Oryzias latipes: one gene and its partners. The protein of the gene in region 1 interacts with the protein of each later gene in a pairwise test. Links are inferred from orthologs where the notes say so. Each region holds a gene or a part of one and is shown in the gene's direction. Other genes may lie near its edges.

Region 1 (5,795 bases):
TAAGTACTAAATGTGAAACTGCAGATAAACTAAAGTGTCACTGTGGGCATTCTAAAAACATTTTCTTAACTTTAGACTTGATCAATGCCTGGAGCTTCTGATCAGGACAAACAGACTACCAGAGGCTGCCTTTTTGGCTCGCACCTACCTGCCTAGCCAGGTGTCCCGTGTGGTCAAACTGTGGAGAGAGAGTTTATCCAAAATCAACCAGAAGGTTTGTTTGGAATTACCGTAGCTTGATGCTTCTGTGGATGCAACTTTGAGTTAATCAGACAGATTTGGAAGTTTCCTGTTCATTATTCTCTTTTATTTTCTTCCTATTTGCAGGCAGCTGAATCCCTCGCAGACCCCACAGAATATGAAAACCTGTTCCCAGGCCTGAAGGAAGCCTTTGCAGCAGAGCATTACCTGAGAGAGACCTGCGTGGGTGGCTCCAGACCTGCTAAAGACTATCCACTAGTCACAGTGAGTTCTATTCTTTGTGACAAAAGTTACAGAGTGCATAGTTTTAAAGTGACTAAATAAAGTGAATGTTTATGTATTTAAAATAAGTCTATTTCTGACACTTTTAGCCCAATGAAGACAGGAATATTCTGGAGGAAGCTCAGGGATACGAGCCCAAAGGCACTTTCATTCCCTTCGTGTCTGAGGTTTGTTTACAGCACTTTGCTTCTATTGATCCAATTTCTTCTTGTAACTGACTTGAGCTCTGTAGCACTCTGGAAAAGTGCTCTGCCAGTTTACATGTTTCTTTAATTTTTTAACTTTACTGCATTTATTTCCAGACAAAAGACAGCGAAGAATCCAGCTCAGTCGCTCCTGTCATACTTTCACAGCCTGAACCCCCGGCTCCTAAAGAAGCTGAAAAAGAGCCAGAGGACGACCTTCCTGATTTTGCACAGTCAGAGAAAGAGAAGGTCAGGCTTTTTTTTGGTGTTTTTATAAAATTTAGATTTTATGAATAAACTTCAAAAAATTGTATCTATTCAGAGCGCATTTGTACTGCAGGATGTAGAGTCCTCATTACCACGTTTCAAATTTGTTATCTGTTTGCAACATTTATCCAAAGAAGCAAACAAATGCTTTAAATGTTTTTTTTTTGTCTCTCCGTAGTCTCTGGATGAGCTAGAAGTGGATCTGGACAACATGGAATTGGACGACATCGACACCACAGATGTTAACCTCGATGACGATTTCTTAGAAGATTGAAACCTGCCGCTTTTGCGCTCCCAAACTTTCTTCAGAACATATTTAAATGAAAGGGACCAAATCCCCTTTCCCCATTCTTTTTTTTTATTGTATGAAAAGTGTAATATTGCCATGTTGACCTACCGCTTTTGAAAGGATTCCTTTAGAAGATAATACAAGTTCTGTTCTGTTTTCCAGAAGATTAAGGTGGGGAGGTTGTAACTTCTCCATTTTTATGCCATTTATTGATGGAGACTTAAAAGATTTTCTGTCTACTATACATTGTTATTCACATTTTGCTTTGTGTTGCCTTTAATGCAAATCAAAGTTGATTCAGTCCAATAAATTGTGGTTGCTGTACAGTTTTGACTGTTATCGTTCTCCTTAGGCTTCAAACTTTGGGGGAGGGTCTACAGAAGCAAAATACACAACTAATAAGGGGTGATTTTAGAAAAGACTTTTTTTAAATTTTAAATGCCAGTTTCAAAAACATCAAGTAAGGACTTTAGGTATGATTGACTTCTCTCATTGCTTATGGGCACATTAAAACTACAGATTTCAAAAATCAAATCTGAGATCAAGCTTTTATACCTTAAATGTATATAAAAAATGGAATTTGGGTGTTAAGTATTTTACTTTCCCCATTAACAGCAGGGCAGCACTGAGATCTGTCAACAAGGACAGGATCACTGACAAGAATGTTGCACTTAATTTCTGTATATTTGTTACTAAAACATTTCAATTTCAATTAAAAATATATTTTTCTTTGAATTTGGTATCAAAACCCCATTGCAATTTAAAATAAATTTGATTTAGCTTTATTTTATGTGAGATTGAATTGTAATTTTTCATAATGAAATCTAAGTTGCAAAAGGCCTTTTCAGATTGCAAGCCTGATTTGCAAATTAAATTGTCAATTTAAAAATATATTTTAAAATAAAAAAATTAATTGTCAATTCAGAATTTAAAACAAAAAACTTCCGTTGATTTATTTTAGTTAGGATTCACTTCGTGAAACCCTACACCACAGCTTTCTCCTCTGTGACGTGGTTCGTGCAATTCTACTCCTTTCCTGATGGTGTCGCTCTTTTCTAGAACAGGTTTTAGTATTTTCCCTTTTCTTTTTTTTCTCAGTTTCGTGTTCAACAAAGTGCAGAGGTTGGCAAAGGGACGAGGGAGAAAGCTGTTGTGAGAATGACATTTTGAGAATCTTTGTTTGCCATGTTTTCCCAGACCTTATTGTCTTTTTTCGGCGTTTTTAGCAGCTTTGTGAAAGTTTACAGAACCCGCAGCGAAAGCGATTCACGTCGGATGGCGCTGGTGGTACACTTTTAGACACGACAGACAGGGAAAATATTTATTACCATTCCACAGAAAGAGACCCGTTTGTCTATCAGCAGCTGTATAAAATCAGAAGCAAAACTAAAAAGAACTACTCTATAGGACCAAGAAACCCAAGGAAGACCACGGGACAGCCTCCACCAGCGCCACGGGGAGTAGGGGCCCGAGAGGGAGCCTGCCAGGCCCTCGGCTTGATGTACCCAGCCTGCCTTGCCTTAACCACAGTCCGGGATGGGGGAAACGAAAATTATCTACCACCTCGACGATCAGGAGACGCCGTACCTGGTGAAACTGTCTGTCCCGGCAGACAGAGTCACTCTTGCGGACTTTAAAAATGTCATCAAGAAACCAAATTACAAATTTTTCTTCAAATCGATGGATGATGACTTCGGGTAACTATTAAAGAGCGGATTTTCTCTGTCAAGAACTGAAGGAGTCAGTGAAATATGCTTTTCAGGAAGATTTTGCTGTGCGATTCCTTGTTTGTTTTCCCTTCCGTCGACTTCCCATAAATACGGCTTTGACATTATTAGACTATATTATTTGCTAACCTTTTGCTCAGCTGTTTCTTTGTTAGCTAGTCAGGCTTGTACCGTTAGCTGATCTGTTCAGCGTCCAGCTCTCGTTTGTTTACATTGCGCGTGTGGCTAACGTATACGCCTCGCGCTTCTTCAGATTTGTCTGACCAAGTTTGGTATTATTAGTCAGTGTCATAAACACACGAGAAAACCCCAGACTGGCTTAAACATTGTGTGGATTTAAAAGAAGTACTAGTTGCCAACCTCAGTGCTGTCAGTTGCTGGCTAATGTAGCATCCATGCTAGCAGGACGGTGTCAGAACATGAAGGGCCACTTTGAGTTTGGTCCAGACCCGCAGGCCCCTGCTGTTGTTGTCTATTAGCCCGAGGAATGCAGCGTTAGACACAAGAATGTCCTGTTCATCATGTTGGCAGCTTTATAAGCATGTGTTTTAGTCTTTAACAAAGGGGAAGAAAAAAACAGAAAGCCCCTGAAAATGTAGACTATCCGCGTCTATCCAGACAGCCAGTGCGGTCTTTTTTAAACCCTTTTTAGTCAGGTTTTCACACTTGCCCTCATAAATACAAACTTAGGGTGGGACAAAACCTTTAATTGCTGGGGCTAGCTTTTTCTTTTTAAAATCTATTTACATTTTGAAAACCTTAAAGTCTTTTTTTTTATTGCACTGCATAGCTTCAGTTACTTGATTTTAAAATCTACACCCCTTTTGGTAAAGCAAAAGCACAGCACAGACATTAGGAAAGCCAACCCTCAGCTTTAGTCAGTTTACTGCATATCAATAAAAGATATTGGGCATTTACTTGGAAAATAGAGATGCTGACACCTAAAAGAATGGTGCCTTATAGAGTGCGGGTTAAAATGACCCCACCTCGTCTGTAACAACAGGACAGACAGTTTATAGCTCTGTGAAAAAAATAGACCAGGAACACAACAATTAACTTAAAGTACAAAGCCCAACAGAAATCAACTGGAAAGGAACCAAACACACAAAAAGATTTTGTTTCCTGCATTTTTTATTTTATTTTAAATTCCTTTTATGCATTTCCTCCAAAGAAGCTCTACTTTATTATGTAGTCAGTTTCCTATGTGATATGTGATTGAGACCAGTTGGTTTTGCACCACATGAAGGACTACAATGCTTTTGACTTCCTGGAGTGCTGAAAGATGTCTGATGGAAACTTTACAGCTGTTTTCATTCTTTAGACACTGTAATACACGAAACATGACTGCTATCAACCACTTTTTAACCCTTACATATCTGTAATAATACACCTTTGCTGCTTTTTTTCTTCATTTTATTTTAGACTTGTTCTTAGTTCTCTATGAAAATGGAATGAATGCATTGCATCAGTTGGTGTTGTTCATCTCATGTTCTTGTTTCACTGAAACCTTTGCTTTATTCACAGGGTGGTAAAAGAAGAAATATCGGATGACAACGCGAAGCTGCCCTGTTTCAATGGACGTGTGGTGTCATGGGTATGTTCAAAATCCAGAATAGATGTTTTTGTGTGTTTTTTATAAACCACTGCCAGACAATTCGTTTGCAACTATTACAAGGATTTCCTTCTGCTGGACCAATTCTAGAGGGACTTCAACCTACCTGTGTGTGTGTACAAGAACATCACTATCAAACTATGATCTCCAGCATAATACAAACTCCTTTTTTTTTGTTATAAATGTTTTACAACTTTTGGGGATAAACAGAAATCCTGCATTGGCTTTTAGACAAAAGATTTGGTTCTGGTTAACAGTCTGTTTCCTTTTAACACTGAAATTGGATTAAAGACAAGTGAAATCACAGGATAGCGGTGGATTGCTCATTACCAAAGGGTCCTACTGTGTGTCATTTAACAAGAAAATTGAATATCGCAGAGAGGAAGGCTGGAGTTGTGAGAGTTTTGTGGGTTGATATGAAAATGCTAATATTATACTGTGTGTTTGTGATTAAATGTTTCATTTGAGAGCCATAAACACACCATGATTGCTAGATATGTTGCTGTGTTTTTTTAGCTTTGTGGTCAGGTTTGTATTTTTTATGAAATTTTAAATTCTTTAGGGTTGTTACCCATTTTTTTCTGATATACTAGGAACTATTATTTTAGATTCATCCGTTTGTTAATCTCTAGCACTCATCTGTTTTGTCAGTGATGTGGTTGGTTGATCCCAAGGGAGCCATTATTCATCACAACAGTCCAGCACACTGATTTCAGCTTGACTGCACTTTATTGCAAGAAAATCAGTTGATTTGCGTAAACTTTGTCAAAAATGATTAGATTATTGTCTTCCTTACTTCCTGCTGAACTTTCTTAAAAGCCAAAAATGTTGGTAGTGAAAGAAGTCCTTTGCTAATGAGGTCATAAAACGCTGTTATGGATCCACTATTGGAGCAGTTCATTCTAATTTATGTTCATTTCTCTAATCTTGCCAGTGAAGTATAAATTTCATATTCTCGTTATCAATTACCTGATAAACTTAAGCTTTATTAGATAATGTTGCTTCATTCCAGGACAGAGTAGTGTTCCTTCCTGGCCGACATGCCATCATTTAACCCGTTTCAATAATCTTTTAACACGGATAATATTTTAAAAATGTGTTGAAGCTGACTCAGATTGAATTTGTGCTTTATATTTGAAAGTATGTTAAAAGATGAATTCTTTATTTGTGGATTACTCGAACACAAGTGTTTTATTTATTAATGTGTAAATTTGCTTTGAATAAATTATTTG
Region 2 (5,775 bases), on another chromosome or scaffold:
ATTTCGGAATAACTATTTACGCTGCAGAGGTGACCATCAGACAGGTCCTGGCCACAGACACACACCTCCCCCTCCACACACACACACACACACACACACACTCTAAATGGGCTAAATAATCCCTCCACCTATTTACACAGGAGTGAAGAGGCCACGGCCTCACCTTCAGGGTGCTACTTAACTCCTCGAGTCACTCGTTGAGTAATCACAGCATTCTCCTGCCAGCCTACTGCCTAATTACAGTGTGTGTGTGTGTGAGTGTGCACAACTGTGTGTGTGAAGAAGTCATTATTTAGCAATGCAGGCCTCACAGGTAGACAATTGCACTGGCTGATTCGGACTTTTCAAGTATTTAGTGGGTACAGTTGCATTCTGAACGGGGTCCGCTTTAAGCCACAGATTTAAACTTGTGCCTCAAAAATTAAACAACAAAAAAGTTCCGTTCAATGTTTTCACAGTTTAGTTCAAATAACGGTAAATGTTAAAAATGTGAATGTTCCCATAAAACAAGCAGGTTTTCTGCCTCCATGCGTGCAGGAGAAACAGGCAGCCTGGTGTTTTTCACACCAACTGGCTCGGGAAGAATAGAAGCTGCAGCGGAGGGAAAAAGGCAGATGAGGAGAGCTTTTGCTGCGGGATGAGGGAGGCCCGCAGCGCCGCTTTAATCCCCCCTGGATCCCTCTCGCAGAGCCGGGCTTTGCACTGCGCGCAGCGCTTGGCTCACTTAAAAAGGAAAGTATTACAGTGCGACAAATTTCACACTTTCTCTCATGTTTCAGCCCCAAAGAGGGCGACTCTGGAAATAATATTTGGTACGATGAAGCCATGATCCAGCAGCTGGAGACTGACATCATTTTTTGGGGTCCAAAATCATGATCGCAGATACAAAAACAAACCTTTTTGGATCAGTTGATCAATTAATTAAAAACGACACATATTCAATACATTTTACTTTTCTTGTTCAATCAGCCTCATTTGACCTGAATCATTGGACTGTTTGCTGCAGGAGAAACGTCCGTTTTTTCCTCTCTGCTGCTGCGCTTCTCACACAAACACTCCACTGTTTTCACCTGTTTCCCTTTTCAAACGGGGAACAGGTCCATTACCTCCCGAACCGAGTCACCTCATTTCACTTTAACAGCTCCCGTCCCCATTCCAGCGTATTCGATTAAATAAAAACATCTGTTAAAGTTAAAAACGTTTGATTAAACGAGACTAATAAAAACTAAATAAAAAGAAAAAACTCAGGGACTATTATAACAAACAAACCCCCCAAAAAATCTGAGATAGGAGAGTTGAAGAATAAAAATAAACGTGTCGTCGATTTTATTAAATATTCAGAGAATAAAATAAGCGAATACGATTTTTCAAAATGATTTGTTTTCTGCAGATTTACTCTTAGAAATGTGTTTTTTCTAAGATAAAATTAAAGAATATTGTACGGACAATACATATTCTCAATTTTATGATATATTTGGAAAATCTAAACTTTTTATTTCTAAAACTGCATTTTTTGTAAAGCTTAAATGGGGAAATAGTCAATAGAAAAAGTATGGGTTGTGTGCATTCTAAAATGTGTCCTTATTTTTTTATGTTTAGATATTATTAAAGATTATAAATAAATACAATTTTATTTCACTTCTTTAGTGACGCATATGTTTTTGAGATTTATTTAGAATCGTTTTTCGCCACAATAAGTTCAAATAAGACTTAACTGGTAACACGCGCACTTTGGCGGATTTTCTCAATTGGTTTAAAGGAATAAAAAACTTTTATGAATTTAAAAGTGTTAAATAAAATGAGCGATGAACTGTTTCTGTTAATGACGACTAATGTTCAGCAAACCGTAGGGATCTAAGTTCATGAAGAAACACTGAAAATGTGCAAATGCAGGAGGTTGAACGATGTGATGCGGCAGTACCACCGGCCTCAGTGTGTGTGTGTGTGTGTGTGAGTGTGTGTGGGTGGGGGGTGCTGGTTTGAGGGATGGATGGGATGACTGTGGTGACGTCAGCGCGAGGCGTGCAGCGGAGTGCCGGGGAAGAAAACCAAGACAGCGCTGCACAGACGCGTAAAGCGCCGACATCCGCGGACACAGCGTTCACGCGCTACAGCCCGAGTGGATTTACTGAACACCTGCATGGGGACACTGTGAGGCTTTGTTACATTTTTTTTCTGTCTTCTGCTGGGAACTGACTGGTGAGTAAAATTAGAAATATTGCTAAATGTATTGAGCATTATTGAAGCAGCCAGTCAAAGTAAATGACAAACATTTACTTTGAGGTTGCCCTGCCCTGAGTTTAATGGAACTTTACGCACGGGAGCGATCAGGATTTAAGCCTCAGCTTCAGATTTTTTTAAAAAACATCCATAGATCCAGAGCTGTTCGAGGTCTCTGAGCATCCGTGTGAAGCACATGAAGCACTCAGACTGCTGCCTACAGCTCGGTGAAAGGACGGGAGTGAAGCAGGGCTGTGCGTTCTGAGTGAAGATTTACTGTGGACATAAAAGCAGCAAAAGGATTCCTGTAGATAAGAGCAGCTTTGTGTGAGAATGCGCGCAGTGTCATGGTAAAGGTAACCTTTGCGTCTGTGAAGTTTGGTCAGCGATGTTTCTGTTTGGCCAAAACTCCAAGAACGCATATTGATCAAATTATGACAGACATTTGACAGATGTCATAGAGGACAGAGAAGATTATTGCTTTTACATTGATTTTATTTTTGTTTAGCGTAGGATTTGTAAATGGAAATGAAAAAAAATGTATGGTAGAAATATTTAAAGGGTTTAATGTTCATTCTGCTTTGACATTCCTTTTGAATTTTACATGTTTATTTTTTATTATTTTACCAGGATTAAAGAACAACAAAGAAAAAGAAAATCCTTCTATTCAACATATTGAATTTGTGTGTTTCAGGCATCTGGAATGGAACTGAATCTATCAAAGAATGTTATTTCCTGTGGGGACCAAGGTATCAGTTCTACTTTTCTTCTTTTCTCGCTCACAGTTTTAGTTTTTGTAAAAATTCCCTGAAATACAAAGTCTTAAATCAGTCCGTGTAAAACAGTCTTCCTTGGATTTTTTAAATAAATGCCGGTTTTGACCTCAACTAATTCCATTTCTGATCATGAAAAAAACAGGACAATGAAATGAGTTATGGGTGTGATAAGTTTAATATCTAAAATACCATTGTTTTTTCATCCAAAAGACAAAAATCGGTATTAACGCGTTGTTGCGCATGCTCTTAAACATTGCGCATAAGATTTTATTTCAGTTTATGAGGATTCATGGTGGACTTCTGTGTCTTCTTGTTTAAAATCTTTCATATATTTGTGCAACGTGTTTTTACAGCCTAATTTTAAGGCTTCAGTCGAACTAAAACTCTTGAAAAGTTAGAGGAACGCTGCTGATCTCTTTCTCCTGTGTGTTTTTTTGTGATCTCGACGTTAGCAGGCGTTTTGTTGGCACGGCGCTCTGCTCTGTAAAGCTGTTTGTTGCCGGTCAGACTGCAGGTCAAGAAGGCCTTTGGGCCAGAAGGAAAACCATCACCTAGGCAATAATCGGCTCTGTCCTTCTCCAGTTACTAACCGGGTTCAGTTACATCGCTGCGGACCAGCCTTTCAATCTGCAGCTTCGGTTTTCTAGATGATTCGTTTTCCCGCTGCTTGGCTTTGCTGTGCCCAACAAGTAAAACAAAAAACAAAAAAACAAAAAACACAAAGACTGTACTTTGATGCGTAATTGATGACGTCTCCTTGGTTTTATTTTCACTTCTTCATGGACAAATATGAGTATTTGCTTTGCCACTGGCCTTTAACCTGTCCTGCCGGATGGAAAGGCTTTTTAAGTCATCCATCACGCGCAAGTGCCCTCCAGAGGAGTGGAGCATCAGGACACGGGCAGGGATGGAGGATGAGTATTTGGGTTACCACCATTTATCAGCTCACAGCGTGGGGACAGAGAAGAAGGTAGCACTCAGCAGATAGATCTCCATGTCCTGCAAATCCCTTAATATTCTGGCGTGGAGTTGCGAGGTCACTGGGTTTGTTATGATCCTTGCGTAGCTTCGACTTTAGGTTGTGATCTAAACTGACAACTCTTTCCAGCTGTAAGAGATTCTTTTTTTTACAAGGTGCATACTTCAAACTTGGTATGATTCCAAATTATTAAAAATATGGGATTATATGATCTGTGGAGACAGGAAATTCATTCAGGCAAATTAAATAAATGGCGATCAAGCCTCCTGGTTGCATTTCTTCATTTAATTTCAAACGTCAGTGATGCCCTGAAGTTTTGGTTTGGTTTCTTTACTCTGGCTGCATTCGGTGGAAGTGCTGCATGTTGGACGGTCATCTCGAGGAAGAACTGAGAGCAAAATAAAGATGAAATTCTCAAAAAGTAATTTAGATTAACGGTTTAGATTCACACTAAACAATCTCATTTGTCAGGCAAATGCAGGTGAGGCCTTTGCACAGAGAGGCGGCGCAGTTGAACCAAGATCCATGCAGTTATTGAGTGATTGCACAATTATGCTCAGAAAGACCTTCGGGGAAGTTTTCCGGTCGGACGAGGATCTCATGTCAAGTCTTTGTCCTTCAGAGGCAGAAAAAAGCTTGACAGTGGCGCCGGTAGCAGCCGGGGTTTCAGACGGTTTCAGTCGAGCTGCTGGCCGCGTTGCTCCAACGCAGCGGGCCGGGTAACTTCACACTGTTGGGATCAGCAGCCGTCTTATTGGCTGAGGCAGAAACTAATTGCATGAGATCAGCGATGCTCGAGGGTCAAAGGAGTCATACAAGATACTTTTTATATATTTAGAGAAAGAGCAGCGCCGTTGGTGCGTGAGGCAATTCCATCTCTACTGTGGAGGTGAAAAGCTGTGTGAGGTTAACAGGGAAGCACACTCAATGTGTCATAAAACATCTAACAATTGTGTTAGACATTGGTCACAGTTATTCGCTTTTTTAACAAAAGATCAAACCGAGAACACAATATTTAGTCCACGCGCCATCTGACAGCCGCAATCCTATTTTACGCAAGACGATAAACTGAAAAGAAAAACATTTATGCAGAAAAGAAAATAGTAGAAATTAAATAAAATAAGATGTTATTTATTTCAAAGAAAAAAACTATAGTCTTTTCTAAACAGCCACACAACAGCAGCTTCAGGGCGCAGAGCTCAATTCGGTTTGGATGTTCTTGGAGCGCTCGCGCCACAGCACCACCGACTGCAGCGTGTGCGTCAGTGCCAACTAAAGGAACAAATATGTTCCCATCAGTGGCTTCATTTAATCGCATCCAGGCAGAATGTTTGCGTCCCAGAAAAAAAGAAACTGTAAGGTCAGCGCTCCAGAGGGAAAAACATCTTTCTGAAAAGGCCAGATTGTAAATCACAGCTTGTTTGGGCAAAGAGCAGACAGATCCCCTGCTGTCAACAGACGGTTCTTCTCCTCCTGTTTGCTTGGAACTGTGCCGCTTGTCGCCGTCAGACACAAAGGTTCAGCATTGTGAGGTCCACCGAGGCGCCATTTATCACCCCTGATTGTGCCTTTGTGCGCGTAGCTCATACTTTAAATAAACTCGACATCACCGTGCACATTTCACACACAGGGAACAGTAACTGGGCAGGCCTGTGTCACACAGCAAATGTTTATTCAGCTCAGAACATATCTGAGATCTGCTTTGTGTGAATGAGTGTGTACAGAAGCGCGCAGCTGCTGGGCGCGTTTCAAAGATGACGAAAAGACGCGGTTTTTATGAGGCAGACGCGCTGTGCTGCA
Region 3 (5,861 bases), on another chromosome or scaffold:
GAATATCCAACCTAAAACTAACTTCATCACCGCACTTCTGTAACTGTCTGTCAATCATTAATTTGAAACTACCCTAGTTTCTCGGAGCTTCAAGGTGAAAGTTAAAGGCAAACAACAGGAAGACAGTAAGAAACAGCGTTTCAGAAACCTTACTTGACGCGTTTTGCTTCCGTCTGTCTTTCGTCGGAATTTTTTGCTGCAGATTTTCCGGTTTCCTTCGCAGTTTCTGCCATTTCTCTTCATTCAGCGAGAAAAACCGGAAAGAAAGCCGGGACAGGAAGTAGACTCGACGTGTTTCCGGTTTTTCCTTCAGAATAAAAGCAGGAAAGAAGAGGTTCACTTTTACTGTGAAGAACATTTAGTGAAAACGAAAACGCACCGTTTTGAGGGGAAAAAACTGCATATAAACAAAAATCCTAAACTTTGCTGGAAAAAAAACATAATCATGATTTTAAAAGTGTTTCTAAGTTCTTTGTTGTCGTTTTTTTCTTTCATTTCAATTACAGTGAGCTTTTTAACACCATCCTTTTAATGTATAATTTTAATTTTTGACATTAGAGGTGGCTGGTCTGGTTTTGGAGGGGTTTTAAAGAAAACTTTATTTTTAATTGGAGTTTAATTAGCTTCATGTTAAATACAATTTAAACTGAAACTTAATGTAATTCTAATAACGCAGTATGAGTCATAGGTGTTATGTACTCATCTGAATTTACTTTTTACACTTTTTTTTCTTTTTTTGTTGGTCACTTGACTCATTAACCTTTGAGGCTTAAGGTATTGTAAAGAACTATGTAGAAGGTTAACCCTGTTTATTAACATGCATTTCCAGATTCTGATGTAAAATGCTACAGCTCATTCATGCAAGGCAACATGACAGGATGAGCTTCTTTGACTGTAGGTGACGTGTGGAAGACTAGGAGTGTCTTATAGTACAATCTGTGATCAATTTCAGTATAAATAAAAAAGAACATCTAATAAATAGGATTTCTAATCAAGTAATTCATGAACATTTTAATAAAATCTATTACAAATGTATAAAAAATGCAGCCAGTAAAAGCAATGGGATTTAGGAAAATCAATCGCCTCATTAAACCAACAAAAGTAAAAAGATTTTCTAACCTGAAGTAGGAATAGTGTGGTTTGGTTGTCTTTTCAGAAAACGAGAGCAGAGCTGTGGTTTGGATGAAGAAGTCTGCAGGGACAGAGAAGAATGTTGGAGATCTTCAGAACAACCGGGAGACAAGAGAAGAGAAGATGGAGGTGGGACTACGCCAAGGATCAGCTTTGAGCGCCTTCTTGTTTCTTTGGTGATGGACAGACTGAGAGACGAGGTTAGACACACAAGCCTCTTAGTATGGCAACTCCCAGCAGTGGTTTAATATAAGTAGAGTTTATTCTGCTAATGGAAGTTCACCTCAGTTAAAAAATCTTAAAATAAATGCCAACATTTATTCAAATCGTTTGTATTTTTCTTCAAAGTCAGAGAGCCACAATAGTGGAATAAAAGCGCCGCGTGAGGCTCACGGTGGAGACCCCCGGTTCAGACACAGAGTCAGGAGGAAGAGCTGGAGGCAGCAGAGAGGAAGATGCTGAGGTTCTCTGTGGGACCAGGATGGATCAGGAATGGATCCATCAGAGGATCGGATCACAGATGTTCTGGAGATCCAAGCAGATGGAGATGTTTAAGAGGAAGAACAGTGATGATGATGGTGAAAGGATGCTGAGGCTGGAGCTGCCAGGAAAGAGAGGAAGACCAAAGAGGAGGGTCATGGATGGAGAGGAGGATGCAGAGAAGGTTGGACGGAGTCCGATGATTTTCTTTGGCGCCCCCTAAAGGCAGCAGCAGAATGAAAAAGAAGAAGCAGTAAAAAAAAAATTCAAATGCATTTTCAGATCAAAATATTTATTTATCAATGTAACAAAAATAGTTCCTGTTTTAATTTCAAAGTGTGATTACAGAATACTTTAATCTGTATAATCTGTGTATCAATTGTTGCATTAAAATCATATTTTGTCATCTCTATAATTATTTCAGTGTCTTATATTCAAACCGCTGTTTTGCTGCTGTCTGCTTGGAACTCGACACCTTTCAAACTGCCCCCCCCCCCCCGCTCCTCTGGACCGGAAGTGACGTCAGAGCGGAGCAGATTGCTGAGTTCTGCTCACAGCAGCGCCACAGGACGCGGGAGACCCACAGCGACGCCAGACTCTGTCCAAAATCCGTTGTCATCCTCGGAAATTTAGCTTTTATCGACCTAAAAGACATCACGAGCATAACGTGGACACTTTAAGCTTTCTAGAAAGCGCTGTATTGTCACGATATGACGTTTGTAACATTTTAAAAGCGAAGGCGAAAGATTGTTGTTGGAAGCCGTCTTCATCCGGATACATACTGCTCACCGGGGAACGGATTTTGGGCAGAAACCCGCCGCCGCTGCTCGTTCCCGCTTTTCTTTGTTTTTTATTTGATTTACTGCCAAGTGCTTTAGGTCTGAACGTTTTCAGAGAGAGCTGGTTGACCACAGAACCTTCACCATGGAGTTAAGAGTTGGAAACCGATACAGACTGGGCAGAAAAATTGGAAGCGGCTCGTTTGGAGACATCTACCTGGGTATGTTGTGACGGAAACGCCGTGGTCTGGTCCCTACCTGCCGATCAGGGGAGTCGGGCGGCTGGTCTGACTTCTTTCCGGGGTGTCCTGAACGGCTCAGCGACGATCAGCTGTTAGCAGCATTAGCTAAGAGGCTAGCAGACTCGGCTGTTGTCTGAAGCAGCATTTAGTCCGAGATGTTCAGAATTCTTCCTGTTAAACTCTGAAGATTTGGTCTTTGACGTTTTGTGACGGCTTAGCGTACCGATGGTGGAACTGGACCGGTTATAAGGACGCAGTTCTGGGACGAGGCCCTGTCTGTCCGTCTGTCCGTCTGTCCGTCTGTCTGTCTGTCTGTGTGTTTCTGAAGGACTCAGAAACCGAGGCTTCATCATGTCCTTAAACGAAACACTTCCGTTCATTTATGCATGTGTTCTTGTGTTTCTGTTGTGGATTTACCTGAAACACATTTACTCTATAAGGAAGCGTCCTGTCTGTCTGTCCAGATATAATCAGGAAGGCCCAACGTCCACCAGGCAAAGGTTTCTTTACATCCAGCTGTCTGTCTGTTTCCTGATCCCATCTATGACATCGTATTGTTTGCTAATGGTTACAGTCTGGGATTGGATTATGTTTCTAGTTGTACTTGTATTCAGCAGCAACAGCATAGCTGGAGTCTGACATTCAGCTCTTAACAATAAAACTGTGTAAATAAAAAAACAATCCTGAGTTTTGGATCGAGACCATTTTCACAGCTGAAGATCTCCACTCAGAAAAGACATTACGATATAATGTGGACGTATCTGACTGTCAGTTATTCTCCTCCACACATTTGACTGTATCCAAATAAAATCAGATGGGTGTTGGAGAAGCAGCACATGACCGTGACTTTCATACGTTGGCATTTCAAAGCTCCTTCCGTTTACGTCTGGTTCCTGCTTTTTAGTGACTCCAGAACATTTCACAGTGAGGTCAAGGAAAAGCCTCCATGGAGGTAAAAATGTTGTTGTGACTGTTGACTCCACCGTAGACATGTGGAGGTCATTCCAGAAACCTTCTCAGTAAGAAGTTTATCCGTTTGAGCCTTTATGTGTGGCCCTTTTGATTTGCAGACATTAGTAATGTTCAGCGTTTATGATTTCCCCTTCATAGTACCAGACAACAAATCTGCAAAGAGGAACAGGCAGTAAACAAAGAGCCACAGCGGATTATCTGCAGGAAGAAGCTGACATGTCTTGTTTTTATTTCTGCGGTGATGATGATCAGCAGCCAATCAGCACACTTCTACCTTAGTTGTACTTCTGTTCTGAGGGCAATGTTGCCTTTTGTATCAGGAACATGCTGCTGAAGATCTAGTGTGGGTGGTTCTATAGAAAACCCCCACTGGCTTTGCTGCTCTTCTGTTGTGTTATGGAGCTATAGTAATGGGCTGTTAGCTTTCAGCCCAGTTCAGGTGTGAACACAGCAGAGTTTTGACGGATTCTTTCAAACGTTACACACCTCACTTGATGAGCTCAAACTGATGACTATCATTAAAGTGTAATAACACGTGTGGATATCATGGTTTAACTACAAACTCCATTAAATACACCAGGCTGCCATCAGCCTGTGAAGGCGGGCTCTGCTTGAGGTTAATCCACTGAAAACACACCTTAACGTTGGAAGAGGACAGGGCTCTGCAGGCAGAAACAGGACCCAGGAGAGTAAATAATTGTATCCAGCCCTCCTTCCACGTGACCGCCGGGCCTGATGGCGTGGAGCCAGCTGCTTGCATAACCACTTTATGGTTTTTGTCTTCTGCCCCCAGAGAGATGACTAACCTGACCTCCGGGTTTAAAAACGTTTAAAAATGCATCTCTATAATCTTCATTCTTTCATAAAGCTCTAGATTTGAACTAGAACCAACAGCCTGATTCTGCCTTTTGTGACAGCAGCAGGGCATGCTGGGAAGTGAAGTTCTTAACTATGCATGCATTTTTCTGGTGAGTTGTAGTTGGATAGCTTTTGGTCTGTGGTGACTGATTATTAGTTATAAAGCTGGTGTCTCTTTGAATTCCCAGCTACTTTAATGGTTTTACCTGTTGACATGTTTACTGCATAACGACGCTTCACACTGAACAACTGATTACCAGCTTTGGATCACATTTTTTTAATAACTAGAATATTTTAAAGTGCTTCACATACAAGTATGCACTGTGTACTGAGGGAGGGGCTGTTATGTCCTCATACTACACCCCATTAGACCATTTCTCTGCCATCAATCAAAATATTCCTTCTGTTATATTTACACTGGGTACATCTAGGGTGTCCCGTGTACGGCTTGTCCTCCAGATATCCTTGTCCTACCTTCAGCTGAATATCTGGATCAAATCTATCAATGTAAATCCATAAGATCAGAAAAGAGGCAGGACGGCACTGTAAGAACATTAGTTTGTTTTGGAGGAGTGGTTGTCTCAACACGACGTTCATGCCAGACTAAAACAGCTCAATAGAAGTCACTCTGCTATCGTGCTTTATAGAATAATATGATAGAGTACATGTAGTTATTGCCTTGTATCTTTTCAGACTTTGAGTTTTGGTCTCCAAGTGAAATTAGATCAGAACTAGTGTGTCAGAGAAGCCGACTTATGTAATCTGGTTTGAGAAATGAAATGCTTGAACAATGGAGTCTTTCTGAACCAACTGTAAACGTGTGTTTTGTAACGTCAACCTGCAGCCGGAGCCTGTAACCCGTCTGACAGGAGGGAGCCTGTCCGACAGATACCGTCTCTGTGGTATGCTGGTAACATGAGAATGTTCTGCAGGGAGGGGTTTGTTTAACGGCGAGGCAGAGCGCTAACGGCCAGCGGGCTCGTCACACGCACTGACTCACCGATCACCATCACTGATGACGGTTTACGGCTGTTTCTGTGGTCAAACTGACGTCACCGTGACGACGAGTGCTGTGCTTCCTCACGGTGGTCACTTTTCTTTTGCAATTTGGGGGAGGGTCTCTGAAGACCTTGTTTAGCGTGCCCTTTCACCTTTTCAATAATGGCATCCGGAGCAGGGGGGGGGTCTCCTGTGTGCCTCACGTTCCCCCCATGTTTACTGCATACGTTCCCGTCGGTCACATGTCATCGTCTGCAGCTCCAGGTTTTGGTCTTGATCTAATCAAGAACGTCTTCTGTGGACGTTGACCGTTTCTGTCGTCACAGTGAAGAAATGTCTCTTTTTAAATTCAAGGTCTTTATCACGATGCGTTTTGGAAAAAGAAGGACGTCACGGTTTG

Evidence for each region.
Region 2: the proteins of dvl3 (region 1) and pitx1 interact in binary tests that used the Homo sapiens proteins (3 or more experiments, as listed by UniProt). The two-hybrid records come from large-scale screens. The link is inferred for Oryzias latipes from reciprocal best matches to the Homo sapiens genes DVL3 and PITX1.
Region 3: the proteins of dvl3 (region 1) and csnk1d interact in binary tests that used the Homo sapiens proteins (3 or more experiments, as listed by UniProt). The two-hybrid records come from large-scale screens. The link is inferred for Oryzias latipes from reciprocal best matches to the Homo sapiens genes DVL3 and CSNK1D.

Annotation. Positions count from the first base shown.
Region 1 is NC_019875.2:21,518,196-21,523,990, forward strand, and holds the start of dvl3 (segment polarity protein dishevelled homolog DVL-3), read left to right. Parts: upstream 1-2,313; 5' UTR 2,314-2,760; coding exon 2,761-2,921; intron 2,922-4,475; coding exon 4,476-4,545; intron 4,546-5,795. Other genes in the region: coatomer subunit beta', read left to right, coding at 76-214, 328-465, 573-650, 786-917, 1,114-1,209. UniProt on the Homo sapiens protein: Involved in the signal transduction pathway mediated by multiple Wnt genes.
Region 2 is NC_019872.2:3,646,993-3,652,767, forward strand, and holds the start of pitx1 (pituitary homeobox 1), read left to right. Parts: upstream 1-2,057; 5' UTR 2,058-2,199; intron 2,200-2,914; 5' UTR 2,915-2,923; coding exon 2,924-2,969; intron 2,970-5,775. UniProt on the Homo sapiens protein: Sequence-specific transcription factor that binds gene promoters and activates their transcription. May play a role in the development of anterior structures, and in particular, the brain and facies and in specifying the identity or structure of hindlimb.
Region 3 is NC_019866.2:24,955,807-24,961,667, reverse strand, and holds the start of csnk1d (casein kinase I), read left to right. Parts: upstream 1-2,143; 5' UTR 2,144-2,535; coding exon 2,536-2,611; exon of another isoform or gene 2,612-5,861. Other genes in the region: engase (cytosolic endo-beta-N-acetylglucosaminidase), read right to left, coding at 154-233. UniProt on the Homo sapiens protein: Essential serine/threonine-protein kinase that regulates diverse cellular growth and survival processes including Wnt signaling, DNA repair and circadian rhythms. It can phosphorylate a large number of proteins.